Neodiprion lecontei: one gene and its partners. The protein of the gene in region 2 interacts with the protein of the main gene of each other region in a biochemical or structural test. Links are inferred from orthologs where the notes say so. Each region holds a gene or a part of one and is shown on either strand. Other genes may lie near its edges. The genes, in order: kelch-like protein diablo, cullin-3-A and peflin.

Region 1 (9,375 bases), on a different chromosome or scaffold from region 2:
AATTTGATTGCGTCTGCTTTCAGAACCGGAACTTCGTTAACTGAAACAAAAAGATTCAAATTAAGACATGTATCGTACTTTTAGCTGCAATCCAAGGCGTCTGAATAAAAAATATATCCAGTTTACACACCATTCAGTTTTGCTAGTTCTGGCTCAATATGTTGAGCCGCAAACTGAGGCAGCGATACCAAATCACTACTCTGGGTTACTCCATGCTTTTGGGTTTGACCCTTGCTAGCACTACTCGTGACCAAGTACAGAGCCGCATCCTTGCTACGCCAATTTTCTGTTGGTTTTTCAGCATAATTTTGCAGCATTAACTGAAATGCCAGATCAAGTTTAATTAATTAGTCACATGATAACGGTTGCTGTTTATTTAAGATTATTTTACCTGGATGTAGGATCCGAAAATCTCCATAATTTTTGCCTCAAAATATTTTGATAAAACTTTCACGAGGTCGCAGGCAGCGCGTCGCCTCGTGTCAACGTCACTGCCCTCAATATCACGTCTTATGTATTCTTCTGGATTATCCTCAAATAATTCATGGTCGGATTCTGCAAATACATGAAGGAAAAATTTACGACGAGCACTTTTTATCATTACTTTTCTTTGACCACTGAATAACAAACCTCTAAACTCCATGTTTGGTATGATCACTTTTTCACATATACTTCCTAAAGTTGTCGGATTCTCAAACAAATACCTGTACTGTGCTCGATCGGCGACTGTGGCCAAAAATTGCAGAGCGTTAGATACCAGCTGCGAAAATGAGAAATTGCAATGTCTCGTTCATTTCTTTCAAAATTATGCTTAGTATACGTAGCATAGAAATCATAATTCAATAAACAAAAAAATAAAAATTCTTTACCGAATCGAATTTTGGTTGTTGTCCAGTCGACGTAAGGAGATTCCAAATTGCGGTAACAAATTGGGGCAAGAACGGCTGGAATTCTTCGTCGTATTTCTGGGCATATAGACCGACATTGTCGCACACCTGAGATTTCAACTGTTCAATTACTCCAGCCTCCTCGTCATCCTGTCAGTAAAACAAAAATGTTTTCCAAACGTTACAAATCGAAAATTATTATTATTATTATTATTATTGTTGTTGTTGTTGTTATTATGACAACAGAGTAAAGGAATTGTCCCAAGGATTAGTGCCACACATTATACAGCAAAGGTTAATTACCGCTGTTTTCAACGCTGGAACATCTACAGTAAGCAGAATGTGGAAGTTGGTCATCCAAGCATTCATGTTGTCCTCAAAGTATTCAGGCAAGTCCTAGGCAAAGTAGAAAGTATCTTTTGTACCGAAATACATACATTTGATTGAATTCACTTCAAGTAATTACTAATACATGACCATTCATTAATTTACCTATTTAGGCACATTGTTAACTCGTTACTTACCTGAAAATTCAAGGAATAAAATACTTTGCACAGAATGACCAGGGAGTTGTATATAATTTTCAAGGCTTCAATGTTGTTTGCATGTACTTGAGCAAGATTCATGGTTGCCTATCAAGAATAAAGTGGATATTAGTAAGAGTTTTAACTATTCAATTAATTCAGGTACATGAACTTTCTGATTCTCTTAATTCATCCAATGTGATTTTGCAACGAATTCATTAATATTACATATGTAAGGAGCAAATTTTTACTTTATCGGTATACTTTTTTCTAGCTGAATATAAGAAAGCAGCCTATCACTATTACACAGAATAATGGAAACAAGGTCCTTACCAAAAAAAGATCGGTCAAGGGTTTGGCGAATTGGTCGAGTACTAATTTGATCTCAGTCCAAAGGCTCTGGCTCTTGAATTCGTATCTATATCTCTTGAATAGAGAGTGAGCGGTGTGAAGAACACCGTTTATAACATGGAAGTCACCGGTATTAAACTTTTCAACCATCTGATCTATGAGCTCTGGCCATTTCTCAGGGAAATCGTGTCTACCAATGATGGAAACAGCATCCGATAACTGTTTCTGGATTGACTCTGGCGAGTGAAGCATCAAGTTCATTATCAATCGCTTCACAGCTAGGCGATCTTGCATATGTATGCGATCTCCGGTATCTTCATCCTTTATTGATTGTAGAGGAAAAAAAGACAATCATACAATTTAAAATTAATGACACTTTTTTCATCGTTAAATTGCAAGAAAACGCCCTATTTTTATCCAAAAGGTTACAGTTATTCTTTAGCAACAAGAAGTGACAACCTCCTTTCAAAATACAAAAATTCACATTGGGGTACACAATCATGGACTACAAATTTAGTATCGCATAACAATCATGATTAAACTTTCAGTTTTGATTTACAAGGTTTAGATAGACAAGGATATAAATCTTTGCAGATGATAAAAAAAAAATTTAATGATTCTCAATATTCCAAGAAAGTAAAAACCCTAAAACATTTGTAGAACTTTACTAGATACACGTTACTTTATTACTTTTGCACCGTATTGACTTCAGGTTCAAAATAAATATTTGCAATCGCAAGTCACTGCAGTTTCAGTTTGAGTTTAAAAAAATGCAGATCATTCAAGTAACTTAGAAACGAACCAAAGAGTGGGATTTTCAAAAAAGCATTTCACTTTTAAAGTATGCTAGACACTATTCGACTCCAACTCAAATTCAAATTTTTCATTGTCTCGGAATATATCATATGACACAATTTTGACAAGAGAGATATCTTCACTCAAACCTAAAATATCGAGCCTAATTAAAATCAATTGCTATCGAAGTTGAATAACAGTATATTTTCATCGATAGTGTTGGAAAGACCCAGAAATTTCTTGATATTTTTAAAAAATAAAAAGCTACTGGCTTTCAAGAAGCAAAGTGAATGCCAAAAATGTAAATTCATGTCAGTATCGAGACTTTTAAGAGCCTGTTATCAAAGATTTCTGATTCAAAGAGGAACGCCAACCTGAGATAAACTGAGTAACTCCATTGCATAGCATGACCTGTAAACATTATTAGTTATGTATCAGTTTCAGAAACCTCTACAACTGGATAACGGAAGAGAAAAATATAGGGTTTGAAGGGAGCAAACTGGAATGAGATGTGTTTTAATGTCTCGCCAGTATTCACAAAGCAAACGACTGCGATAAAATGTTAGATACACGTACGATTTTCCAGTTCCGTTTGATATAATTTTTAAATGTGACAGCGCCGGTGATCCTGATGACCAGATCAACTTCAGCCTTGTCGATCAGATGAAGCAGTAGCAAGGGATAATTTTGGTTCACTTCGACCGATTCCAGAAATTTTTCAGCTGCGTAAGAAAGAAAATAAAAGTCGTGTAAATAAATAAATTCGGAAGAACGAAGGAAGGAAAATGTGAATTACTCTGACTAAACGTACTTCAACTGGTAGAATTTGAGAACACGTTATATTTGATTTAGTGAGGTTATGCTCACCGGGTCGCCTGACGTTGACGTCAGGGTCGAGTGTTTCCTTGAGATACACACTTAGCGTTAAAAGGTTTTCTTCGGTTAGCTCCATTCTGTAGTATTGTTTTATTACAAATATGGGTAAACTTGCGAACGGAAGAGTACAGCGGGTTTCGAAGACAATTAACACAACATAACCCACCGGCTTCTTTCTACTCTTCCATTATTCGTCTAACTTCAAATTCCGTAATCTAACGTAACGTTTTCCCCTCTTAGCGTCACCGCTCAGAAGCAAGGCGTACTATTCGGAAAACTAAGGTCACCTCGGGTTTTTAATAAAAAACCCTATATCGACGCGGAGCAGCACCTTACCGACTAAAGAGAATTACCGACAGTGGCTTGGATTACCCTATGAGCATGGTGGAAGAATTACATGAGTTTTAAATCGATCCTGCCTGCCATAAGTAATTGCGATTAATTGTTTTTCTTCGTACTTAACTTCGTACATGACACTTTATTCTGATTTCAAGTAAACCGGCAACGCGGTGACGTGCAGTTGGTCGCGCGATGGTTGTTTGTTTTTGGACCTTAATTGTGTCTATATCTGATGAAAAATTATCATTCTATAACGGAGAAGAATTTCTTGAATTTTCTCTCAATAATAATAAAATGATCGTAAGTAAATTGTTAAAGATAACTTTGAATGTGTGCATTGTTGTTGCGATAATTAATTGCGATTAATCGTTTCTCTTTGGCAGATGACATCTTATTCTGATTTTGATAGGACCGCCGACGCGGCGACGTGAAGTTGGCCGCGCGACAGTTATTTGTTTTCGCATCTTGATTGTTTCTATCTCCGATCGAAAACTGCCGTTCTAAATCAGAGAAGAATTAGTCGAATCTTCTCTTAATAATAATAAAATAATAATAGATGTATTGTAAAGGTCACTTTAGATGTTGTGAAGTCGAGTGTGTGTGTTTGTATCTTTGTTATTGTGTACGATGTGTGTGTGTCACCTTATGTTTATGGTTTGGATGACCTGAGAAACCGAACGCGTGAAAAGCGAATTAGTGATCAGTACGGGCATGAACGTCTAGCGAAAAGTACGAGCTTGAACGTTTAACGACAAAGCGGAGCAATAATTAACATATTCAGGCCGAGTGATAATTAAGATGTTACAGATTTTGAGCATATTGTTTTGTGTTTATTTCGTTAATATAATTCATATTGCTCGGGTAAACTTCTTTCGTGTCTAACAATCTTGCATAAATAAGCGGAACAATAATTGACAGATTAATTTTATTGCTGAGTTTATTTTTAATATAATGCATTTCTTTTCGTGTTGTTCCAATAAAATTTCTTTCATATATAACAATATAGTGGACAATAATTCTGAAGTCATGACGTGCAGAAGCTGCTAGAAACATAAGTGACATGTGCTGTTGGTTGTTACTATGGGTGTCAGGTGAGTTTATATTCCTTTATATATTTAATGAAAAATTATGATCTATGATGAATCTCTATTTAATGATGATGAAATTTTATTAAGATTACATGACGATGGAAAAGTTATTATTCATTATGAAAGCAGATGACTCTTAGTGAGATGATGATCGGGACAACGGTGAAAAGATAATTGATGGATACGTGATAGTTGAATTGTTCGATTTCAAAGTGCGGTAATTTGATAGTTTGATTAGACAGTGTTACTAGAAATAGTAGTATGGTATTTACACCATTACATCTCTCAAAAGTATGCGTTACAATAAATAAACACCTAGCGAATGGTGATTTGATACTGTTCCTTACTTTTTTCTTCTTTGCGGCGACGTTTGAAGTTTTTGGCATTTTTGTAAAATGAAATGTAAATTGATAAATACGTGTGCCACTATTCATTTATTCATATGTTGGGCTGGCCCTTTAGCAAAAGAGTACACGTCTAACAGTACAATTATACACTGAGAAAAATTTCATTTGTTACAGTAACTATAAAAATTATATGAATATTGTTGGAATTACGAAAAACGAAATACGCGTAACCATTTTGCGCTATTGTAGATCCTTTTTTGGTAATAATTGCAACGCAAAATCAGTTTGTGAGGTTTACTCTACTTTTTTAGTTAAACAAGGCTTTAACGTCAATTTATCGTTGCACAAGCATTAAATTTTCGCATCAGTTGCAAGAAAATATGGTAACAGTGATCGTAATGAGAAAGAATAGTAACGGATACCAGACTTTCCGGTAACAGCTAGAAAACTAATTTTCATTTTCTACCTAGAACTATATTTTTCTATTGTGGTAAAAAATGAAAATAGTTAAGAATTGAGCGGTAAACGGAACTAAAAATTTCACTCGGTGCATTTTCGAGCACCCCGACGTTAGGAACAAAGAATAACTTTACTTCGTAGGCGTAACACTGACTTTTCCACGTCGACACGCGTCGCCCTGCTTTACCGATGATGAGCGATAAAATTGGAAGGGTTAGAATTGGTATAACGGCAGGATAATTAAAAAGGCTTTCATTGAATAATTAAACACCCAGAGCGTCGTCGCTGCACGCGCGTAAAACACGTTCCAATCGCTCCACTCCCAGATCCTCTACGGGCTCCCCTAAATCTCCCGAGGGTTGAAAATGAAAAATGAAAAACGAAAGATCGCGCGTTGGATTGATCGCGTAATGCCGTATATACGACGACGCAATATCATAATAGCATAATAGCGTAATACATATTTTCCGACCACTCACACCAGCGTTAATGTATCATACGCACATACAGACCCATCTCAATGGACGCTGCTGCCGACTTGACGGCTGAAAATTAAAAATTGTTTGATCAGTCGGGTGACACTGCGAGCTGCTTCGTCCTACCAACGATAAAGATGTAATTGCTGAAGTGGACTGTCTCCGGGGGCATCATTACCGCGAGGAACTCGCCGGTTTAATGTTTCATAACGTACATGAGACGTTATCAACCACGCGGTGTCCGGGGCACTGACAAATGTTTATGTTAGATCAGAGGCCTTGGTAAGCCTCGACCTGGCTGTCTCTCCCTTACACTTTTACCACCCCCGTCTAACCGCTGACACGGAAAACAGAAAACTTTGTAGATGGATCTACATTTACGGCCACGTCTAGGTACAGCTATCGTGCCACTCAACGCGTCCCGAACGGCTCTCTTATTCATTAATAATTAGCATCAAACTCACCGTCACATTGTTACGAATAAACTTGAAGGTCTTCTTGGTTAGCGGTATATTCAATCATTCGTAATTTATACTTTTTTCAATTGTGTCGTACGAGTTTTTAACCACTCTTCAACTCACGGTGAAAGAACGACGAAACGCGGTTATCTATAAAACTAACTCCATCTTCGGGAGACTGAAAAAAAACTTGCTTCATCTTTTGACTTGCTAGAAAACCAATTCAAAATACAGAAATACGGTCAATTTTTCTACGAAAATGCGGTAAAATTTCAAGCAATCTTTTTATAGTATCGAAAAAATATAGTGTTCAAAATAATAGTGTACAGGAAACTGAAAAGCCACAATTTGATTGAACTAATTTCATATTATTCACAGCGTATAACCGTTTGAAAAGTATTTTTTTAGTAAACACAAAGACGAAAATAAAATAGCGGCTGCGGGGCTGAGACATTTGAAAGATGTGCGCGGGTTTTTACCTTTGACAAAAGAAAAATATCTTTATTTGCTTTACACCAATCTATACACCATTAATTATTAATCCAGGAAGTCGGGTTATAATTAGCGTTGGCAGTTGTATAGGCGGAGTAGCTTTTTGATTCCGCGGAGTTCTGTAATGCGAGTTTCAACGCGATGCGATCTCACTCACAGCGCGCCGTGCCGGGGCAATTAATGTCAACGGAACGAGCCAAGACAGAGTAGAGGCACTTATTAAAAAGCTCATAGTCATTTTTCATCTGTCACGAAACGCCGCTTTTGTCCACTTGAAAGTCGAACGGCTGCAGCAGTCGTAGACTGACAATGAGGCGAAAACCTTTTAAATACGAAACAATTCATGTCTTTTACCCACACGCGCATTAACACAAAGAGACGTAGAGAAATTAGAGAAGTAGAAAAGGTGAAAAGAAAGAAAAGCCAAGCCTATGGGCTAATGTCAAGTAATTGACGGTTATTAGATGAAATATGTAAACTCTTGGACGCAATATTATTATACGCGATGAAATAATTGGCGATCGCCTATCAGACTTGGATAATTAACCTAATGATCCACGTTTTAGTTCACGGCATAGGCTGTCCTGTAAAATCGTTTCTCAGCAGCAGCAGCCTTCGGAGCTGATGAAAAAATGCTCAGGTACCGTTGACTAGTTTAGAAATAATTCCTACCCAATTCTCGAGTTCGGCAAATTAAACTGCGTACAACATTGGAACAAATTCGATAATTAGATCAATAAGAACAGAATGAGACGATCCGATGATGCCGAAGATCAAGGTGCACGAATTCCTTATTTTTTTATTTTAACCGCGTAGAAAAGCTCCACCCCTTAATCGGTGCTTGGTGCGAGAGTGACAGATCGGACAATTTCTCGGTTCACGGTAAAGTGGCAACAGCTATGCGCCCCTTTGATGGAGCGACGCGACTTCCCGATTCAGGAAAATTGATCGGTGCCTCCCGGTCCGGGTGGAGCAATCAGAAATGACCGATTTCCACTTCGCATGCAATTTAATCTCGCCTGTTCAGCTTTAAAAATAAGAATTATCGAAGAATTGTCTTGTCCCGTAGCGGAGTTTAAGTTTAATTATAAACTCATTGTCGGTGATGTGTTTTTTCAAAGTATTTGATTATTTTCGTATTCGATATCGTGAATAAGTGTCTGCAGGAGTTACAGTATTTATAGTTTTACTATATTTTGTACGATCCTTGTACGAATAAGAATTCTTCGTGATTGGGTATTTAGTTGAAAATCGATTTCACCGTCTGTCCTGCAATTGTCATAAACAAATGATTTGTAAAAGGTGTTTAGTTCTTTCAGAAAACGTTGTGCTACTTGCAGAAACATGGGAAAATATCGCTCGAGATACTTTACACAAGAATTCAGTGTCGGCATAAGTAATAATCACAAGTTTCTTCACTTAGAGAAATTTTCAGTTCCGGTTACCGCTCAGTCCTTGACCATTTTAATTTTTTACCACAATCGAAAAATATAGTTCTAGGTAGAAAATGAAAATTAGTTTTCTAGCCGGAAACTCTAGTATCCGTTACTATATTTTGTTGCAGCTGTTGCGAAAATTCAATGCTTGTGCAACAATAAATTAATGTTAAAGCCTTATTTAACTAAAAAAGTATAGTAAACCGAACAAACTGATTTTGCGTTGCAATTAGCAAAAAAGGATCGACGATAGCGCAAAATGGTTACGCGTATCTCGTTTTTCGTAATTCCAACAATATTCAAACAATTTTTTTAACGATACCTGTTTTACTGAATTTTCATAGTTACTGTAACAAATGAAATTTTTTCAGTGTTTTGGGAGATTACAAAAAAATGCTACACGGTAAATTTGCAGATAGATTTGATCTTTGAATGAAGGATGGTCAGAAATTAGCTTCAATGTTAAAAGTTTCAGAAATATTCAATACGTGGGCAATTCGGACAATGGCAAGAGGTGTTTTTCCTTTTGTGTTAAACGATTACAGGGTGGATAAAAAAGTATTTATTCATAAATAAATATAATGCGATTTCGCCCAATATAACTTTACCTTTCCGGAAACTAAAAACATCAATATAATGAACTAAAAAATCGTACAATATGAGAATCAAAATTAACGATGGATATCTTCAATTGTAGGGTTTTTTTTTCATTAATTGTGCGAAATACGCACAAAATTGAAGGAATGGATTAAATTTTTGTTTTTTCGACAAATAAGACTTACAAAAAAAAAAAAAAGAAGACCAGAAATAAAAATATTTATACCGTATAACAATGAATTATTATCGT
Region 2 (12,297 bases):
TATATATATATATAGGGGTAACATTCTCGATAATTAATTATTTTTGCAATCAATTTGTTTGTAAAAATAATATCGCTTAACATTATATCGCAGTAATTATTCTCGACTATTGAAAACCCATGAATATACTATAAGAAATAGCAAAAAACCGCAAATATGTTTTCAAAGTTTTCCAAGTATACAAAAAATGGATGTAAAATATATGGTAGGAGTACTTACCACTATGACTCAAAGGGTTAATAGGAAACTGCGCGACGTGCACGTGCCTGCCTCTTATACGTATGCATGATAGGCATATATGTATGATACTCATCGTGGTTGTACACATATTTTACGCACAGTTTAGCGCTAAAAATGCTTTTCCTGGCAGTAGGCAGATATGGTATGTATGTTTGTATGCACGCGTACGTGCACGTGCGACATGTAAAGGCATGCTTAACATGCGTACAGTTCGTTTTTAATTTCATGCTGGTTTGAACGGGTTTAGCCTTGGGGATTAGGAGCGTGTGAGTTCGTGCATCTGTGTTTGAGATACGCTGGATCCGACACTCACTTACGAAGATTATCAGTTACGAAATTGTATTACGTACGCACGTGAATACGTCGGGAGATTTTTTTATTTTGTCTGTATCCAACGCACTAGACGTCTTATCGTCTTATCGCATGACTCAAGATCAGCCAGTCTAGCGTTTTATTGAGGAAGAAGGATCAGTAAGTTTAATCCACTTGCGTGAAGGAGACTTACGTGAGTTTGGATCAGGTGTCGAGTGACTGTTTGCACAGCTATACGACACGATCGCCTACTAATCTATTTCTTTGCATTTACTAATTGTATAATTTATAGTCTTGGGCACAGTTTCGACGACGAAAATGAAACCCAATTTATGTTTCTCATATCCACGATACTGCCTTGTAGTTATGATAAATTTCCGTAACTTTCCGAACAAACAGTCCACCAAGAAAATCTCAACTCCCTGCAGATATCCGCATTGTTGATTACAAACTTGCATAATAATTATCAGCGTGATATGTTTTCTTTGTGATGAGCTCATTTGGTATGCATCTTATTCCGAAAAACAATCCAGCGAACAAAAAGATTTTACTGCCTCGTTAACGAGACAATTTAACTTCTTCATATTCTTGAATTAACAATACGTAATTCATCTCGAAGAGGGCGGAAGAATCGAAAAAAAATACTCGCAATTAGTACGTAACACGATGGCTAATATTCTTCAATTGTACCCCCCTGCAAGCTGTGTATTTATTTTGCGCGGTACTATTTATACGAAAATAGTGCACGGGGCGAACTTGCGATTGTGCCAACAGTTTAAATGTCATATCGGATGATTAAACGCGGCGGACACAATGTGACTGTAGGTACGCATGCAACACGAATACCATTGCCACATACCGCCGGCCCTGTGAATTGTGCAAAAAAATGTAACTCAACATAATGTGACGAATCGCTAAACTGCTACGAGAGTAAGAATAATCGATGGGGGACCCGATTCGAGGGATCCGCAGTTCGTCGGTGCGTTGCCCAATTCGCCGCAAATAACAACAGCGAACGTGTGTGTGCAGGTCGTGCAATTTGCGAAACACCCGACACTCCGACAAAACTGCTCATTCCGAAGCTAAGGCCGAACATATAGCATTATACGTACATGATGAATGCGTCGGCTCAGGGACAGTTGTATGGCGTTTCGTGTACCACACCCCGGAAGAACTGGCAATCCTAGGCCATTAACGAACTTATTTATATCCCCGGCGAGGAGGAAGTATTTCAGAACGAACGTCTCTTCTCACCTCCGTGTTCCCGGGGGCTGTGGAAACGACGCCGTGATACAATACACCGGGAAGAATACGCGAGTACGAATCACTGCTTCCGTCGAAATGGGAAATCGTGGTATAATACCGCGCTATGATGCTACAGAGGAATCAATTGCCGCTGGACGAATGGATGAGGGTCGCTATATCGAGGAAACCGCGTGCGCTGCCTTTTTCCTAGTGGGGATATCGCGGTTTTCTATCTTACGCAGCGGCGCGATTACGTATTCCCGGAACGTACGGGACGCGAATGCATGCCTGCACGTGACTTCTTTTGACCTTGTCAGAGGAATTGGCAATGAATTTTCGTAAATCGAATGGTGGCTGTGTAGTGGAGAGGGATGCAATGGTACTCACTAATGTGCAGGGGTGCGAAATCATCCAGCCCTCGTTGTTCACCGCTCTTCAAAGAAGTCGAAACACGGACTGGTAGCGGCACATTATTTTTCGCACACAGATGAAACGAACGCCTCGTCCACGTTCGGTGAATTATTACATGTACTGACAAGCTCGCGACGGAGGTCCAATCCCTGGAAGTCCTGGCGCCACCAACACCGGCGGCAAACTAACAACGCGCCGATCGCTGCCGACGCCGCGCACGATCTGTCACAATTCCCCCTGCGCGCAGAATCCGGTCTTGCTTGAGAGGAATTTTTAATTGTACACGTAATGATCAGCATTTGTACCGCGACGAACCTGAAAACTTGATTCTGACTGTACCATTTTTTGAAGCACAGGTTCGATTTTTTGTGATAGAAACGTAATACGAGAGCATTCATATTTCTTGTATTTTTTCTGTTCTGTCGTCATACGTGAATCTGATAAAATGTATGAATTTCTTGTCCCAAATCAGGGTTCACCCATTATAATGTTTATAGGTAAAATTGACTGTATTTAAATCCATTTATTGATACAACGTTTTTTTCATTATCATATACAATAGTTTGAAGATACATACTCAGACACACCTTACTTATACACCCAGTCAAAAAAAAACTTTTCGCATATATTATATACGCACATTCGCACTCAATTTCTACAGTCGCGTTCGTAACAAATTAGGTATAGGCAGTCGCTGTTTTACCCACGACAATATACCTGTGTATATTATTTTATAGTTTTTGCAAGAGCCAAATTCTACAAGGAATTATTCAGAGAGGAAGTGGACATGAAACGGGACAAGGGTAGGGCGGAAGTATAACACGTAAAATGTACGCAAGTATAATTCATTAATGCATCTGGAATAATTTAAATTCTTTATAATAATTAAATCTATATTGTTTACCGTTGGCGAGTTTTTTCTTTCTCAAATTAGTTACAGATTTTATACGATCAATTCATTTTATTTCGACTCAGAGTTCTTAATATCAGAGTCGATAGATTCTGGAAAAAATAAAAATAAATAAATGAAGTATATCTTAATGTTTTGATTTCATTATTATAGATCTTATGTTACACTCTACAAACGTCCGTTACCGTTAACCACTCATCACTGTCACATGTGACAAAACAAAAGAAAATAGCAAAACCGAATCAAAACAAATAAAACGAAGAGTACGGAGAAAGTATTCGTGCAGACTTTGAACACAAATTAATTTTAAAAGACTTGGAATGTGCAGAGGAAATTTGTATTGCACAAAGCAGTTGTGTTCGATTAGTTGATACGAGACTAGTTGACAGTCATGTGACAACGATGAGCAATTATAGAACTTCTTTGGGGCATAACAATTCCCCAGAAATACCCAGTTTGGTTCATGAAGTACACGTCGTGCGTTCTCTACGCAGTTACCCTTGCCGACGGCCGTATGTGTACATAGTATATATATTTGAAACAACTCGGTATCGAATGTAAAAAATTTCGTTTATTCTTTTTAAATCTCTATGATAAGGGGGAAGGATAATATAATAACAACGATTGCCGAGGAAATATCCGAATAATTAAATACGCGCAGGCTTGATACTAATACGAGATTGTGAATACCGTGCCTAATATGTTGGGGTGGCCACTTACGCAATTGTACAAACTTGGGGATGCTTGGGGCAGTGTTCAAGCCACGTAAGTGTAGACTTTCCTGTAACAAATAGTGAATGTAGGGATGAACCGAAGTTTTGTTTGAGTCATGTGGGAAATATAAGAACGGTAAAAACAAAAAGAACTGTGTTATTCACCTGTCTTCCGTGCGGGCCAGATAATCACGTTCTATCAGCCCTTCGATGCGTTTCTTGATGATGACAGGTGAGGGCAGGAATCGTACTCGAAGCTGCTCCGTGACTTCCGTCACGAGAATGTTGTGCTAATTAGATTGAAACAAAGTATGAGATAACGAATACGATCGAGATTCATACATTTTATGAAGCGATCGACAGACGAATACGTACTGTCATGCGTTTGCGTGCCTTCATAATTCGCACGATCGCCGCTTCTATTTCATGCTTTCGATCTTCGTCAACCTTGTTCCTCGTCTCTCTTCTCTCAGGCTCGGACTCTCCTTTCGCCGCAACCGTCTGGATTTTTACTCTAGAAGTTGGACAGACCCGATATAAGGCAGAAACGATCAAAGATATAATGTCAATCTCAAAACTTACCGATGAAGCTTACTGGTGAAACTATCATTGACACTGAAGCAGTGTGTTGGCTCAATTTCTTTAGTTTTGGGATGCTTGAGGAGAACTCGCTGAGTCGCCTTCCCCATTGCCAGAGATTGTAATGCTCGGACTAAATCTCGCTCAGGGATGTCAGTTTCATTCTGAATTTCCTGCGATATTAATAAACGCTGGCATCAGTAGAGATCATTTATCTTTTTACCAACTAAAATCATGGGAATGTAACAAACCTCGTAAGTGAGTCGATCTCTGTTGTTGAAGAGCATGAGTACGCACATCTGGTACGTCGATACTTGGATAATATGTTTGCGGGGATTTCCACTGCTGCTTCCCCGCTGACTTAAAAGACTGCCACTTCCGTTGCCCAATGTGGTAGAGGACGAGGGAACGTCCACGCTTCCGCCATTACTGTCTTCCTTCCGAGGCCCATGGAAAACCGCATTAAGGTCAGCCGAACCTGTGCACACGGTCAACAATGAACCATTAATTTGCCAATTCTGCTTGAACTCGATTCAACAAAGATGACTAGTAATTACCCAATTGTGGTTGTAACGTCAGTTGACGACCGCTATGCTTGGCCAAGTAGAAACATCGAAAAGCATCAAACGCTTCTCTTGGCGCTGAGGGCACACTGCAATTCGGTGTTGCTGACTGTGTTGGCCAAAATCCTGTTGTCAGAACCCTCACGCTCAGATCAACGCCGTGTAGACTTGTCTGTGAAATTTGATAAACAATTATCCAGAAATAATTATGCCTGAGCAGTTCCACGTCAGTTTGATCATTTCAGATTTGATGTGAGAATGAAGGATTTTTTTCAACACGTTTGTAACTTACGCCAGACGTTAATACGTGTTCCTTGAACTCTTCCATTATAGTATTGCTGACCGTCATATCCTTGAACATTCCTTCCAGCTTTGATGTAAACTGGCAACCGCATTCAGTCTAAAAAATTGCACAGTTATGAGTTATTATATAGGTACGTATATACAGTGTCAGAGTCTGCGGTAACTGTTTTGAATCGAGGTTTTGACCTGCCCTGAAGTCCTGCAGTAGTTGACGAAAGGTTTCTACATTCGTACGTCTTTTATAAGTAAAGTGCTAGCTTTATTAAACCATGCAGAACTCCAAGGCATGTGTCTTTGCCACTCCCTCTGCCAAATTGTCTATCACACCAATTGCAATATAGTGTTTAATCGGCTAAGAAAATCAGAGCTTCGTAAAGCATGCCCGAGACACGCGCCGTGTCTGAATTTGATCCAATACTTTGACGAATAATACTCGCATACGAGCCTGAACCGAAGGATGATTAAATTGTTGGAAGGTTTGACGGTTGGTTGCTCAGCTCGAAGCATGGTTTTCAGCATGGTTTACAAAGCGGACACTTACTTGATCCTACAATGGGATCGGGACACAGGGTGGACGGACATACTCTAGTCTAGTTTCTCTTTGTGCACTAGCCCTTCGACCTTTGAAGGAAGAACGACTCCTGGGAATCTTTGGGTGGCTCAGCGTTCAGCTTTTTCATTGCGATCAAGATGTCCACGTCCACGTTGAACGCGCCCTGTGTCTGCCAGAACTATGCCATTTAAAATTTTCACACTATCCAATGGGACAATTTACTCTAGCCTCAGTTTGCCAAAGTATGCCGAATGAAACTAGGTGTCAGCGCATCTACGAGCGCGTTTGTAAGACGCAATTATGGATCATGTACCTTTAGCTTTGAGATCATATTCTTTTCACTGTCATCGGAGACGGACTTATTCAGAAGCAACCGCTTGGCTAAATGCTGTTTATAGTATCGCTCAAAGACATCCTTCTCTTGCAGGAACCTGAAGAGAACCATTGTCTTGTCAAGCACGCCTTCGATCTCCTGCTCTGTCATCTGTAGAAAGTAACATTTCAGTTAAAACCTGCACGAAAGGATCTTCATGCCAAGCCGCATTCAACTTACCCCCTTTACACCTTTTTTTAATTTGTCATCGATAAAGAGAGAAAGATACTCAGGGCTCTTTGAATTTAGATTCAGAAAGTGTTCAAAATCCGACGCGATCATTTGCTTGAATAGTTTATCATTGTTAAACGAGTGGTGCAGGAAATGGTCGAAACGATCTTTCAAGTCCAGCAGATTTTGCACAAAGTGTATTGCGTTTGTGGTTGGCTCATGCTCTTCTTGGACCAAGGCGCGTCCTTGCTCTCTGAGGAATTGCGACACACAATCTGATACAGTGCGCAATCCGTCTGTTACTCTCGCGAATAATTTGTACATGCAACCAAGGTCTTCAGTTTTCTGGTTCTTCAACATATGCACCACACCACTGTTTTCCATCTGCAACAGCATTCATTTGAATTATTTCAAAGTTTACAAGACTTTAGAGCAATTCTGTAACACGTAACAAAGATTTGATATACATGAAGTTTACTGCTAAATTTTGTCCTCACCTCAACGATGGTTCTCATGTGTATTTTAATCAACTCTTCTTCCACCACTTTGACTATCCTTGGCTCTGTGGATTCGTCCAGATAGTGCTTCGCCCGTTCTGACTCTTCAAGAATTCTAGCTTCAACTTTCTTTATGTAGACTGAGGCGCTGTTCTCGCCAAGGAACTTTTGCGACTCCATCTGTTGAATATTCGTTAAACACGATTGATTGAAAATTAATAGGACAATTGATATGGTTTTGTGAAAATAAAAGTAAAACTTGCCCTGTAAAATTCAGCGCTCTGTTGTAAGAAAGGCCTCTCGAAATCCTCTTCGTAAACTTGGCGACAGTTTATACCGAGCAGCATTAGCATTTGACATGCATTCTTTATCGCGATTCGATCAACGACCTCCCCCCTTCTCTCTCTCGCTACCATGCCCAGGAGTGTCTCGCGTAGATGATCCCTCACGCAGCCGTACCTGACTACCTGAAATAAATAACGATTCGTCAAAAAGGATTTGTACAGATGTAGCGAAAGCAACGGTTTCAATCGATGTGTTACCTGATCCCTGAATATGATTAGGCCCAAGTTGTAGACGTTGTCAACATCATGCTGTTGCACATAAACCCTATCCATGTACATTAGTATATCCCTGATCATAACCATAGAGGTCTGATGATCGTTCCAAGCCTGATTCAGTGTCTGGAGAAAATTGTTGTGAAGGGAGCGTAGCACGTCTTCCCGAACTTTCGACTCCAGGTGCTGCGTAACAACTTCTTTCAACCCGGTGTACAAACGCTCGCCATGCTTGTGAAGGACCATGGTGTATGCATTTCGGTACAGCTCCTCAAAACTCAGGCCGGAGTTGTTTTTCTTTTGTATTTCTTGTATGGCGTTCTTCAACAGTGCCCAAATACTCTCCACATATTTTTCGTCCATGGTCATCTAAAAACAGAGCATCTAGGTGTGAGAATAAAAAATCAACGCTGATTTGGCAAACTAATAGGCAGTGTCCCTCACAAGGGTGTCGACGATCACAAGGGAGCTCGGATTCCCTGATCGAAACAGCCCTGAGATAGTAGCTATTTCACTGAGTGCTCCACACATAATTTGTGAAGTTGGTTTTTCTAACTGACCACGTTCCATGGTTGGATTTTTATCCAATCCTTCTCTGTGTGGTGACCGCTCAATCACTTTCTTTAACCTATTGTTTTATGTGTCGATCGGCATAGTCGCCATATCAAGAACGCTCAAAATTAACCTTGACTTGTCAATATAGCATCAGCAAAGACGTGATTACTGCTGTCACTAAATTGGAGTTTCTACATCCAGGCCTAGTCCTTTGAACAGGCAATCTATCAGCCTATTGATAGTTTCAGTGATTTGTAAGACTTTGGACTTGAAAATTTGGCGAAAGTAGCGTTTGTCGGGGTGAAAAATTTCGTTTTTGGATTTGTAGGGAAAAAAAAGTGAAAGGCATACTCCTTTCCATTGTCTTTATGACTGCTAAGGCAACTGTCTTGAATTTGGGGGGGGGGGGGGGGGGGGTGAGAATGGGGAAAAAAACACATTAGGTTCGTTCACCAAACCAGTGCACCTTTCGTAGGCTGCTGTGGTTTGGCTATCTTGATACAATATACAAAGGGGCCGAAAGTGAAAGCTGATCAAATATATTATATTGTTATATGGTTTTAGTCGATGTGAGCTAGGTTAAAGGGGTCGGGAAAGAGGAGGTGGGGAGGATGACGGGTGGACATATTTCCATTTAAATGACAGTGCGTGAAATCCGACGGACCCGAGCGTCGAGCCTCGAGGATCGTGAGATCGTGACAATATGAAAACTGCCCGAGTCGAAAGGCGAGGCGAGGCGAGGCGAGGAGCAGCGAGTTTTTCCTCCTTTTAATCAAATGGGCATGCATATTCGTCGATGAGGGAAATAAGATACGTGAGAAATCTTCTTACCGGAAACGCGCGTATCCGCATTTTTTCTCTCTTGTGGGTCGCACCGCTCTTCATCATTTTCAGTAGTAAAAAATCTCCTCAAGGGTCTTCGTTCAGCTTGACACTTCGGTATTATTACTACCAACACTATAAAATCGAGTCAGCGAAAATCTCGATCTCCGTACGCACATTTACAAAGCTTTAACGGTGTCATTCACGCATCGAGGCCAGGGGCGGGCGCGGGGGCGACGTGTATTTCGCAATGGTGGGTTCGAGGAATAATATCGACGCTCGCTCGACGGTGAGAAACAACGGGGACCGAGCGACCAGTCAATGTCGGTTATTTACAGGAAAACAAGGCATCTGAAATTACCCGTTATCGCGGGACTGTGTGGTGGGTAGTGGTAGGTATAAAATGGAGTCGCGCCACCAAAACACAGAATTTATTTTATAGGGTTATTTAAACGCGTCTGCCTCACGTCGTCGGTCTTTAACAAGCTCGTCTCTTCCTCGTTAGTTCTCTTTGTGCTTTTCTTTCCTTTTTACCTCCGCCTTAATTAATCTCACTTCAATGGAATGACGCACATATTCCCACAGATCGAGGCATACCGAATTTCAACCGTGTGTATCAGACGATCTATTTTCCTAATTATTCCGCGACGATGACGACGGGCTGCCGGAGGAGGAGGAGAAGGCGATGAAGCGAGCACGGAGCGCGAATAACTAATCGAGCGCTGTGGGCTGCGTTCGATTCACGCGGTACTATAAATACACATTTTTATCACGATGTAATGGAACGTAACATAAAACTGTAACAAAATACGCGATTACCACGCATAATTGTATACACAAAATATCGCACTTGGCGAATAATCCTATTCCGTTGAATAATTAGGCTGCATTTCATTACCGACTACCGGAACTACATGCCTCCAACCCCCATGGTAAAGAAGTTCCCGTACAGCTGACTAGGAGCCCTTTGTTCCGATAGTTAGATGGCAAAGAGGTTTTTTTGAACGTAACGTAACCTAAAACTATAATAAAATACGCGTTTACCAAGCATAGATGTATACCGCGGTATATCGCACTGGATGAATTATCCAATTCCATTAAACGATAAAGCTGCATTTCATCACTGACTGCCGATACTACAGCTCTATAGCATCCATGGTGAGAAAATTCCAATACAGCTGTCTAGAAGCCTTCTGTTCGGATAGTTAGATGGCTAGGAGGGTTTTTGATACTGCAATACCTCTCGCTCTCGGTGACGCAATTTCCTAGGAATTATCATGATGCACTACACTGGTCTTGTAATACAATGACTTTCTATTAGCCCTTCGAAACTATTCGTCCAAAGCCGATAGTTCGGAAGTAAATGCTTCATAATTTTTTTCAGTGCTCAAACGAACGCTGTATTTTCGGCGCATTTAAGGCTCACTCATCGATCACCAATTTGTTGAAATCAATCTTTCATTACAATGAACTAGCAAGTAACCGGTTACCGATAATTTAGATATAGGTGGAAAAGAATTGCGTTTTATGCCAACATTCAAGTTGTGGAGTTACGTAAAGTATACGCAATTCAAGTATCCAACTTGATCTTTGACCATGGCTACTCAGGAAGTCTTGAAGTTATATAATTTGAATACAGTGTAGCTGTAGAGCAAGGTTTCATATCAGTCCACAGCTATTTCGAAGGAATACGAGACTATAGATAATCCAACAATATTCGCACATGCAGGTTTTCACAGTTCCTGTAAATGAGGCAATCAAATGGTAAAATCATTGTAAAACATATTTATAAAACCTTTTGTTTATACATTGAAAACCAGACGAAAATCGTTCATTTGACTTATAGGTTTACAAAAATATTTCACAGGCTAAAGGTTCCTGTAATAACAATGGCATTTTCATACTTAAGAATACTTGAGTGTTGTGCTATTAACGCATGTATTGTCTAAAAAAAAAAAAAAAAAAAACTATTTTCCTCATCCAATAAACACCCCTCGAAGGTTTAAACTGAAAAAATTGGCAATAGATTCTGGAATAAATGAAGCAGCAGCCCTTTCCTGGGCTCAAAGCTTCGACCTCCGGATATCTGGGAACATGTATGTTTGCAGTCACGCCTTGGCCAGTTCCTTCTTTAAATTGTCAGCGAGCTTGTCCATAAACTCGAACGTCTCAAGATAGTCTGACCTTTTGACATTGTTCATGCCCTTGATGCAGATTGCCAAATCTTTAGTCATACTTCCAGCCTCGATCGTATCAATGCAAACTTTCTCCAGAGTCTCTGCGAATTTCTTCAACTGGTTGTTGTTGTCCAGCTTAGCACGGTGTAGTAGGCCCCTTGTCCAAGCAAAGATCGAGGCAATCGGATTGGTCGATGTCTCTTTACCCAGTTGATATTGGCGGTAATGCCGAGTGACTGTTCCATGCGCAGCCTCAGCCTCGACCGTCTTGCCATCAGGGCAGAGAAGCACAGAGGTCATCAGGCCTAGAGAGCCATAACCTTGAGCAACGGAATCTGACTGAACGTCTCCGTCGTAGTTCTTGCAAGCCCAGACAAAGCCACCCTCGGATTTCATAGCGTAGGCAACCATGTCGTCAATGAGCCGATGCTCGTACCAGATATTCTTTGCTTCGAACTTGGAACGGTACTCAGCCTCGTAAATCTCCTGGAAAATGTCCTTAAATCTGCCATCATATTTTTTCAGGATGGTGTTCTTGGTCGAAAGATAGAGCGGGTAGGTCCGAGCCAAAGCATACTGGAAAGAGCTGTGGGCAAAGTCACGGATGCTCTCGTCGGTGTTGAACTGGGCCTGAGCGATGCCAGCCCCCTTGAACTGGTAGACAGTGTGCTGGATTTTGTCGCCTGACTCACCTGTCCAGGTGATTTCCAGTTTACCGGCACCTGGTACCACAAAGTCTGTGGCCTTGTACTGGTCAGCATGGGCGTGACGGCCGATAATAATGGGTTGATTCCAACCAGTCACCAGCCGCGGAATATTCTTGCAGATTATAGCTTCCCTGAAGACAGTGCCGCCCAGTATATTCCTGATAGTGCCGTTGGGGCTCTTCCACATCTGTTTCAACTTGAACTCCTTGACTCGATTTTCGTCCGGAGTTATCGTCGCACACTTTATGCCCACGTTATATTTCTTTACAGCCTCCGCGCAGTCCACCGTCACCTGGTCATTAGTTGCGTCCCGGTTCTCCATACCCAGATCATAAATGTGCAACTCAATATCCAGGAACGGGAGTATCAATTTGTTCTTGATAGAGTCCCAGATGATACGAGTCATCTCATCTCCAAGAATGTCAACGACGGGTCCAGCCTGTTGGAAAAATGCTGTTTCTTTAAGTATTTTCATAAGAAACTGCTGAACATCTTATTTACAACAATTTCATTGTACAATCTAATCATGAACGGAAATTCCGAGAAATAATCAAACTATCAATCAATTGATTATTACGGCTTATATCGCGTGAGATAATGATCGCTGTG
Region 3 (10,125 bases), on a different chromosome or scaffold from region 2:
TAATTTTAATCATAAATTTTTCACATTCGATAGAAAGCAGTGAATGCGGAAAAAACTATTTTTTTATGTTAAATTCAATTTTTCGTGTCTTTGGGCACGATTCCTTTTTAAAAATAAATTGTAAAAAATTCAATAGAGCACGATGGAGATTTGAAAGTCTCGTTCATTGTCGAATAACTATTCGTGTATGCCGAAGAATAAGGATAACAGAATTATTGGTTGTGATGGAAGAGCACCGTTACAAGAGTTGAATCGTTTAAGGATATGTGCAAGCGTTTTCCGAAACATCCGAATTAAATTAGTTGTAATTGAGAACAAGTTTAGGAAGTTATTATCAATTGATGAAAAATGCTTGCTGCCTATTACTGTATGATGATAGCCCATTTTCAAGGTTTAGCACATTCCTCAGCTACGAAATTTTTCTCGTTTAATGCTCCTATCAAAACCATTAATCCCATTACACCTGAAGGTTAACTGATTTGATGGTACAAGTCTTGGTAGTTGCTAATACTACTATTTCAGAATTATTGTCAAGTTACGGCGTTAAGTACAACCACGGTCAAATCGGGAGTATTTACGGACCGTTCCCACTGTGGAATTGATTGCCCGTGATGCTTGAAGAATGCACGAGCAAGACATGTCTGTTTTTTAGCAGTTTGAAAAAGAGAGAAAATAAAGCAATGTACCGAGTAGAATAGTCGTAAATATAACGAGGTAAACTTGATTTGGGACGCCTGAAATCAGAAACTTCAATTAAGCTGGTTGATTGATATTGACTTATTAAAAATACTATATTCCATATTTTAAATAATTTAGTCACTAAACATGACTCCCTCACTTTTGCTTTGGTATATATAACGTGCACAGATGGTACAACGTATATTTTATATTTCGTAAAAAGTTGCAACAGTACAGTAGTATTTATTTTTAACTGAGTTCAATACATGAAATCTACGACAAACAAAGATATAAATCACGGAAGTTTTTTATATGATATTTTTAGTAATGATTAGATCACATAAGGACCAAATGAGTCCGGTTTCATATTACAATGTGGGGATTGGCTTCATATGATCCCAGTAAAATTACTCGGTTGCAAATTCTTACCAGCATCGATTTTGTATTTTTTACTTTCAGCTTTTTCACACCCACTGAGTCTCACGCTCTCTGATTGGTCATGGACTAATTCTGATTGCATGAAGGACCACGAAAGTTATTTGAAGGACTATAGTATTTTATGCCATCCAACGTTTTCATTACTTTAATTAAATAAACTGTAAGTCTTTGCCGATCACGACTGATATTGTAGATCGAGTAGAAGTGATGAAGAAAATAGCACTTGCTTATTTGAAAGATAAAGTAGCATTTATGAAATGAGTTTTCTTGCCGATTTGTGCATCATAAACTGCATCGGGTAGTTAAGCTCATTTAGAAAAAGAGAATATCATCACCTGTGAATAAGCTGCTGACGGGCTTCTGCGCCAACGATTTCTACAAACCTACAACTTACTGTGTATGCGAAACGGCGGTTAATTCAGAATCCTACAAACCGAATCAGAGTCATCATTTTCTACAATATTCTCCGGTGGGTTCAGCGGTAACGAGTGATTTATACCAGTGTGGTACAAGATAATGAGAATTATGGGTACAAAGGGGTATAATCAATTCAACAAAATATTTCTTTGCGGGTGGCGAAAAAATTATATTGTTTGATGCGAATTATTTTTTATTGAAGCCACAAAGGATTTGACGGTATCAATTAACCAGTGTTAAAGTTACGTCCGAAACACATGAAAATGCACAAAATTTTCATAGAGGTAAGTAAAAAAATTGAATAGTCATAGACACAGTTTCAGACCCAATCTAGTACAGTTTATTAAATATGCCTTAATGCTAGCGCAAGTGTTTTAATACCTGTGTGTAGCAGCTCAACAAGGTGACGAATAGAATTAAAGTGACAAGACATAAAGATACGAACAAATATGCTATGTGTAATTACGCCTAAAAGACGATACTGTTTAGTTCAAGGTCTAATTCAACCCGTGAGTTCGACGACTGCTCGTCAGAACTATCACTGATAAAACGCAATTACGAATCCACTCAATTGTTCATTCATTGATCCATATATTATAAATTTTACGGACTAAAAGTCTTTTTCACATAGAAAGTACAGTTTAGCATTGATAGGCGAGCCAGTACCTACCTAAATGTAGAAGTTAAGTATCACTTCTGAATTTTTATTCCTAGACTCTACATGTTCAGAAATTAATACTACGAAAACCCCAAACATAAAACAAAGTTTTTCTTCTATGACAAAAAGAAACCAGTTACAGTTTCTGAAAATTTCGGGGGAAGATACCTGCAATATAAATTCTAGCAAACACAGAGAGCACACATTATGAAACTAATATGACCAATAGATTTCAGATGTAATAAGGTAGTACTAAGCTTCTTTGTGAAAATGTATTTATTCATAGGTATAAACAAATACATAGACGATCACATATCACTGTCACATGTTATGATTATGCATCATTGTTCTCAGGAAACGAATGAGTCGCTACAGTTACTATTGCGGATAATACCAGTTTTGTTTATAACATCCTTAATATTAGAAATACGAAATTATAGAGTATTTTTCTCTCATCTTCTTACAAAAAATAATTAATATAGCTAATTCGAATAAGCCAACGACTTAGAAGTTGAGAAACATGCAATTCAGAATGGCCAATTTGAAGGAATTGATCCGCTTTTCAGCACGGTCCGTGCATACGCACAGTAGATCCGTCCCTCCCAGCCTAATCAGATATGGAGAGCTAGGATCAAGCATGGAGATATAGACATATATACCGACTATGCTAAGAGTTTGTTGACTGATTATCAAACAATTGCGTGTGGAATATCGCAAAGCTCTCTTCTTCTTCTTTCTACTTAGCTAAGCGAAGCATTGTACTGGATGCCATACACCATACTTCATAGTTCTCAAGTCAGAGCTGATTAGTGATCCTTGAATCTCAGAAATGGTCGCTCGACCTTGGAAAATTTCGATAAGTTAGTTGAAATAGTTGCAGTCAAACACGTTTTGTAATCATTTGGAATGCCAAAAAATTAGCTTACGACGTTTTATCGTTAACAAAGTGTTATTTACATTTATTTTGAATGAATAAGCTTGTTTTTCCAGCGCAGCAAACTGCCTGGTTTTGGAAAATTTTCATCTGTCGAATAGATAGAATTCGGGTAATGTGTTGGTCACGTAGAACAATATACAGGTTAATGTGCAAATGCAATGAGAAATATTATTTGCAATTAGTATTGGATTCAAAAATTCTCAAACACTGCAGTTGAGAGCCACGCTCAAGAAATCTTCAAAGGCGATCGATATTGTGCCACTCTGTTGAGCATCTCTTTGCCTGAATGCCTCTGAAATATGATAAGAAATTATGAAAAGATTTACTATAATATGGCTTTTATCAGGAATACTGGATAAAATATTTTGACAATGTCTGTCTTACAATTAATCAAATAAAATTTATTTTATGCAGAAATGATAAACGTTACCTGTAAACCTTTGAATTTGTACACATAAAACAATGAACTGATCAATACTGATGGATTGGTGTTGATTAAAATCACTCTTCTGTATAAGGAATTTTATAAACTCAGGGCTAAATCTATAACCCATCTGCGTTAGAGCAGCTGATAGCTCACTCTCCTGAATGCTTCCAGAGTTGTCATGGTCGAAACCTCGAAATACACCGAGCCATGCATTAACATAGTTAAATAAGGCTTGGAATTCTTGAATATCTATCGTACCCTTCTTTTCCTTGTCGAACATTCCTATCAAAATCAAATAAAAATATCAATAACAAGGTAAATGTCTAAAATAAGAATGTAAATTTCAGTTACTGAATTTCGCATGCTCTGTCACGGATAAGATTATGCTAATGAAATATTCAACTTCACATTTGGTGATATTTTCGTAAATTTTTTATGTAAAATTGAATCATTGTTTCTGTTCATATGTAATTCTTTTTTACAGGTTTACTGTCTGAGTGGGATGTCCTTAATACGCCGTATCACGACCTATCTAACTCTTGAGCCAATATTTATTTTTCCAATCTTATCACAATTGAATTAGTTCTTTTTTTTTCTAGAAAGAAATTAATCTTTCACCAAGCGATAATTGTACCCATAAGTAGGAAGTATTGAGAAAAAGGAGTTTCGAAGGGTCGTGGTTTCAATATAAATCTATTGGTATCTGTAATTAGGAGAAAATAATTATATTTACGGACATACCAATCATCAGCTTGCAAGCTGTGTCAGAAAAAGTGCTCCCTTGTCCATTTGCTAAGGCACTCTTTAATTCAGTAGCTGTTATCCGACCACTGTGATCTCGATCAAGTGTTGCGAACCATTTTTGAATCTCCGGACTGACCTGGATATGACCTTGCGTTGAACCGAAAGTAGCACCCTGCTTTAATTGTTTTCTTTGTCAGTATTGTCATATGTATGAGGCTGATGAAATGCTTAGAACCATGAACAAAATTTGATGATCGAAATGAAATCTAAATATAAAAAATACAAGAATCAATTGCCCAGTTGAGGCAGACAACAAAATTACAAACCTACCAACTTTCATAAAATCTTTACATTTGAGATGCGAAGTTTGAATTTACTGTCAAATGTGAGGTTACAATGAAAGTCGAACTTATATTCATACCTCAATTCAATTGCATATTTAAAATACAATCACAAACAGATACTTTGCCTCAAGATTAAAACTAAAACCACTTAATATGGGACAAAACTTTGGCTATTTTCATCAACAAGATTCATATAACAATATTGCGTGATGTTTTTTTCCAAATATAAGTTTCCAAGAGGTGAAGAAAATGTGGTTACTTATTCTGTAACTTTACAGTCCCAACACAGCAAACAATGCTAAAACTAATGGATTGTAGCGATGGTGAAGCAGCATGCCTGTCTGATTCAGCCTAACGTAAACTGTTGTTTTAGCGTTGTTGACTACCCAGAAACTGCAAAATACGCACCTTGAGGTTACAAAATAAGTACCTTGGTCAGCTATTTAGTGATCAAAAATAGCAAAACTTTGGCTTAAAGCGGCACTAAACTATCAGTATAGTAGCGGAACTCCTTACAATCAAGCTTGATCGATTCAAACTACAGGTACGTTGTTTATTATTGGAACTTCAACACCATGATGTTATAGTATATCAGCAACATTGTCGTGATCAAAATGAAATATGTACATAGTTAAAATTATAAATATTATGAATGCATTATACTGTATATCAGTGTTCACCAAGATAACACACCAAAGCTTGATTTAACCCAAAATACAAAAGTCAAATTGTTCAACCTCAACCTCAAGCGGATATGAATTATGAGTAACGAAGCGTACAATTGTAACTAAAATATCATGAACTATGAACACTGAACAATGTGAAGAAAAACAATAAGTGTGTTCAAGTGAAGTGATTACTTAATACGTCAATGTAAATCTAACAGAAGTTTTATTATTTTTACAAACAAAATAGCTTACCGAATAAGCCATAATTGGTTGAAATATAACGCGATCGCGTACACTCACAGCTACTTGCGGAATGAAAACAGGAAAGGAGTATATATATATATCAGTGATGAAGTACTCCTCTGACGTAAATTACGCAATACGGCATCTAAACCACGAGTAGTTCATGGAGGTGAAGAGAAAGGCGAACTCGACGCGACGAATGAATGACAAGACCACACAGTTATGCATTCTTTGCTGCCATACGCGGCAAGCACTAGGACCAGATAGAGTCCCTAGGCTATATAAAACAATGGACACAATACGCGCATTCATTACACAAATTTACGACTATGCAGATAAATTCTATGTGATCGTAGGTGAATATTTTACCCAGGTATGCATGTATTTAGTAATGTTTATAAATGCCACGGACTTATGCCTTCTCTTTTCGGCTACCTTATTTTCGGTCCGAAACAAAATGCGAGTTCTAATACGAATTATGTATAGGTATGTATACCAATACAACCACTTTCTCGAAAGGTCAGTGATTTTCTCGCGTCAGCTGCATTGCCAGTCACTGTTACACAATCCGTATAAAATAAAATTCGCATTTTGTTTCGGACCGCAAACAAGTTAGCCAGAAAAGGGAGGCATTAATGAACATTACTGTTCAAAGATTTACATACATTCTGACATGTTCGATATCCGTAGGAATTTTACGACGCACGGGATTGGATGTGCAACCCTTTGCACTACCGATCGTGTGCTTATCACCGAGCAGAAAACAAAATTAAAGAGTCTACGGCGGGTGGCCGATTTCAATTGTGGTTGAAGAAGGGGACGAGTCCATAGACTTCAAGTAGTCATGTCCGGTTACGGGCCTAAATTTTATAAATAAGAAATAATAATATTTTTTGGTCGATTTTCTTGCACAAAGGAATACTGGGTATAGGATGAGTATTTTTCTAGCTCCCAAACTGTTCATAGCGGAAGGTCATACTCATGGAGACTTGTTCATAATGCCAAGATCTACAACATATAAAAAATCCAGACCATCTGAAAATCTGGGCATTGGTCAAAAATAATCGATTTGCAATTAATTCGATTATTTTTGCCCGATTAAGCAAGAACAGTCGATTATTTTTCGAACTTGATTAATCGAGTACAGTCTATTATTTTTTAAACTCTATTAATCGACCGACTAGATTATTTTTCTTAACAATCGGTTTTTGTAATAAATAAATTTTATAAGTTTTACTCCTATGAACAATGCAATACAATATCAATTTATTTGATGAGAGTATCAATTATTACCATTGTCTTACTTACCAAGTACTAATTTTTAAAAGGCTAAAAAGGTGATTGTGGACGATTTTTTTTTTTTGATAGGGAGAGAGAAAACGAGTCTACTTCATCACACACTTGAAAGGTGTGAGCAAAAATTGTTATCATCGAACTGTCGCAGAACGGCAGCGTTATTAGCTAACCTATTAACTGAAGAATATATCTTCAGTCAACGGCTGACCATCGAAAGGCCTAGCCGCTTGAGTCTGGAACCGGCAGGAAATATAAGGTGCGCATTTCTTGTCTGAAATGTGAAAACTAAAATCATCATACATCATACCATCATACATCATACATACATAGTATTAAAGTTCGAAACCAAATTTTGGATGTTCGGATGTTCAGAAAGTGACGTCACCCAAAATTTTTTCTCTCTTGATCTGTATAGACGAAAATCAGTTGGCCGAATTCCTCAGTCTGGAAACAACCACGCAGTAGAGCGGACGTATGAGAATCACGCTCCGCAAATTTCGAGTACCGGGTTCTCTAACTCCTGGATGCTGCGCTCCGGGTCCGCTTCCTGGTGCGACTCGACGCCCAGGACAAGCACTCCGTAGTTTCTGTGCTCCAGGTCCGCTAGCTGGTGAAACTTGACTTCCAGGACAAGAGCTCCGTAGTTTTTGTGCTCCAAGTCCGCTACCTGGTGAAACTCGACTTCAGCAACAAGCGCTCCGTGGTTTCTGCGTTCAGGATCCATTGCCTGATAATACTTGACTTCCGGGACAAGCACTCATTTATAAGTATGCGAAGTACAACCCGAGGTGATTAGCGGTGGTTGTTGGTGGTCGGAGGTGGACGAGGAGGAGGACGCGGAAGACGAGGAGAACAAGGTTTACGAGGAGGACGAGGATTTGTGCTTGGTGAGTTTAATATTTTAATGATATTTAATGGCAATTGCAATTATATTTCATCTGAAATTTTTTATTTCATCTAAAATTTTTCACACTTGTCATGTTTGTAATAAATGATTTCGATTCATTTTTCGCGCAAGCACAACTTCAGTAGCTATAAATGCGCTGATAAAATTTATTATATTATTAATTGATTAATTAATTATAGTAATCCTTACAAAATATTTTTGATGTGTCCTTATACTGGAAATATTTATTACTATTCAAGGTACAACCCGAAGTGGTTGTCGGTGGTTGTAGGAGATGGTTGGCGGTGGTTGGAGGTGGTCGGCGGTGGACGAGAAAGAGGACGAGGATTTGTGCTCGGTGAGTTTAACATTTTAGTAGGAGTAGGAGGATTAAGAGTAGTAGGAGTTGGAGTAGGGGAAGGAACCCAACCCAACCCAACCCAACCTTACCCTACCCTACCATACCGTAACCTACCCTACCCTACGCCCGACCCTACCCTACCCTACCCTACCCTACCCTACGCCCTACTCTACCCTACACTACCCTACACTACCGTATCCTACCCTACGCCCTACCCTACCCTACCCTAAGCTAGAAGCTAAGGAGATACAAACGAAAGTTTCCATTTTTAGAGCTTAACTTTTAACGCGCTGCTGCTGTACTTTTCAAAATCGCGAAAATTTTCGTCCAAACTGCAAAGAGATTAGCCTCATTTTTTCCTTCATGTGCAGAGCTGAAAATTTTTCGTCTCAGATTCTATTTGTATGACCCTTTCCTGAGTAATTGGACCCTCAGAAACTAGGAAAATGTATAAAAAAGAGCGTGGGATCAACAGCAGGAGAGGTACGATGGAAATCTTCTGTTTTGTAGCTGTAACTTTTGATCCGTTCATCGTAGCGTATTGGGACTACGCCCAATCGATTCCGCTCGCAAAATTACGTCGGTATAGTGTACCAAATAATTTATTCCAGCACTTCAGAATCGCGAAAATTTTCGCTAAAAGTGCGAAGGGATGAGCCTTCCTTTTTTTTTACGATTTTGGTCAAAAAATCTATTGTCTCAGATTCGATTTGTATGACTCTTTCCTGAGCTTATTGAACCCCCATGATTGCAGAAAACGCACCAAAAAGAGCGTCGGATCAACAGGAGAGAAAATACGAAGAAAAAAGCACCTGCTGAAAAATGTCGAAAACACAGGTTCTCGTTTATTGGCTGCAACTTTTGATCTGTTGATCGCGGCCTATTGGAACTTCGCCCAATCGATTTCTCTCGCAAAATTACATCGAAATAGTGCATGAAAGAATTTATTCCAGCTACCTGGTGCAACTCGACTTCAGGGACAAGTGCTCCGTAGTTTCTACGCTCCAGGTCCGCTACCTGGTGAAGCTTGAATTTCAGGAAAAGCGCTCCATGGTTCCAGCGCTCCAGGTCCGCTACCTGATGAAACTCGACTCTCGGAGGACAAGGAAGACGAGGAGAACAAGGTGGACGAAGAGAACAAGGATTTCTGCACGGTGAGTATAACATTTTTCTACTATTCAATGGCAATTGTGATTTTATTCTATCCAAAATTTTTGAACTTGTTATGTTTACAATAAATTATTTCAATTCATATTTCGCCCAAGTCGTAATTCAGTAGCTATCATCGTGCTACTAAAATTTCTATAATTTTTTCTAATTTTCTCATAATCTTCTTGGTAAAATCTGTCCATAAAAAAATGATATTATTCGTTACATAATATTTTTGATGTGTTCTAATACTGAAAATATTTATTACTATTCCATGTATAACCCGAGGTCGTTATCGGTGGGTGTTCGAGGTGGTCTGAGGTGGACAAGAAGGAGGACGAGGAAGACGTGGAGAAGAAGGTGGTGGAGGAGGATGAGGATTTATGCTCGGTGAGTAAAACATTTTTATAATATCTGATGGCAATTGTAATTATATTTCATCTAAAATATTTCAAACTTGTCATGTACACAGTGAATTATTTCAATTCATTTTTTGTGCAAGCACATATTTAGTAGCTCATGAAATTTATTACGTATTAATAGATTATTTAATTATATTAATCCTTACATAATACTTTTGATGTGTTCTTGTACTGAAAATATTTATTACTATTCCAGTTATAACCCGAAGTGGTTAGCAGTGGTCGTCGGGGGTGGTTGGCGGTGGTTGGAGGTGGTCGAGCTGGACGAGGTGGAGGACGAGGATTCGTGCTCGGTGAGTTTAACATTTTTACAATATTTGATGAAGTAGAATCAGCATCAGGAGTAGGATCAGGGGAAGATGTAGAAATAGGAGTTGGAGTGGGATTAGGAGTAGGAGTAGTCGGAGTAGGAATAGGAGTAGTCGTCGTAGTAGGAGTAGGAGTAGGAGCAGAAGTA

What was found.
Region 1: the proteins of cullin-3-A (region 2) and kelch-like protein diablo form a complex in vitro, tested with the Homo sapiens proteins (2 studies listed by BioGRID and IntAct). The link is inferred for Neodiprion lecontei from reciprocal best matches to the Homo sapiens genes CUL3 and KLHL20.
Region 3: the proteins of cullin-3-A (region 2) and peflin form a complex in vitro, tested with the Homo sapiens proteins (2 studies listed by BioGRID). The link is inferred for Neodiprion lecontei from reciprocal best matches to the Homo sapiens genes CUL3 and PEF1.

The regions. Positions count from the first base shown.
Region 1 is NC_060261.1:28,447,904-28,457,278, forward strand, and holds the start of kelch-like protein diablo, read left to right. Parts: upstream 1-4,473; 5' UTR 4,474-4,863; intron 4,864-9,375. Other genes in the region: exportin-2, read right to left, coding at 1-40, 131-320, 392-555, 631-760, 870-1,037, 1,191-1,283, 1,412-1,519, 1,745-2,083 and 2 more. UniProt on the Homo sapiens protein: Substrate-specific adapter of a BCR (BTB-CUL3-RBX1) E3 ubiquitin-protein ligase complex involved in interferon response and anterograde Golgi to endosome transport.
Region 2 is NC_060264.1:23,154,394-23,166,690, reverse strand, and holds cullin-3-A, read right to left. Parts: upstream 8,013-12,297; 5' UTR 7,998-8,012; coding exon 7,872-7,997; intron 7,797-7,871; coding exon 7,413-7,796; intron 7,338-7,412; coding exon 7,134-7,337; intron 7,051-7,133; coding exon 6,871-7,050; intron 6,758-6,870; coding exon 6,383-6,757; intron 6,314-6,382; coding exon 6,143-6,313; intron 5,374-6,142; coding exon 5,266-5,373; intron 5,146-5,265; coding exon 4,968-5,145; intron 4,889-4,967; coding exon 4,662-4,888; intron 4,584-4,661; coding exon 4,414-4,583; intron 4,346-4,413; coding exon 4,207-4,345; intron 4,122-4,206; coding exon 3,997-4,121; intron 3,900-3,996; coding exon 3,875-3,899; 3' UTR 3,839-3,874; exon of another isoform or gene 3,211-3,838; 3' UTR 2,717-3,210; downstream 1-2,716. Other genes in the region: isocitrate dehydrogenase [NADP] cytoplasmic, read right to left, coding at 10,913-12,127. UniProt on the Homo sapiens protein: Core component of multiple cullin-RING-based BCR (BTB-CUL3-RBX1) E3 ubiquitin-protein ligase complexes which mediate the ubiquitination and subsequent proteasomal degradation of target proteins.
Region 3 is NC_060263.1:22,831,721-22,841,845, forward strand, and holds peflin, read right to left. Parts: upstream 5,708-10,125; 5' UTR 5,576-5,707; coding exon 5,564-5,575; intron 4,475-5,563; coding exon 4,297-4,474; intron 3,838-4,296; coding exon 3,559-3,837; intron 3,421-3,558; coding exon 3,329-3,420; 3' UTR 2,450-3,328; downstream 1-2,449. Other genes in the region: uncharacterized protein LOC124294011, read left to right, coding at 9,148-9,251, 9,865-9,961. UniProt on the Homo sapiens protein: Calcium-binding protein that acts as an adapter that bridges unrelated proteins or stabilizes weak protein-protein complexes in response to calcium.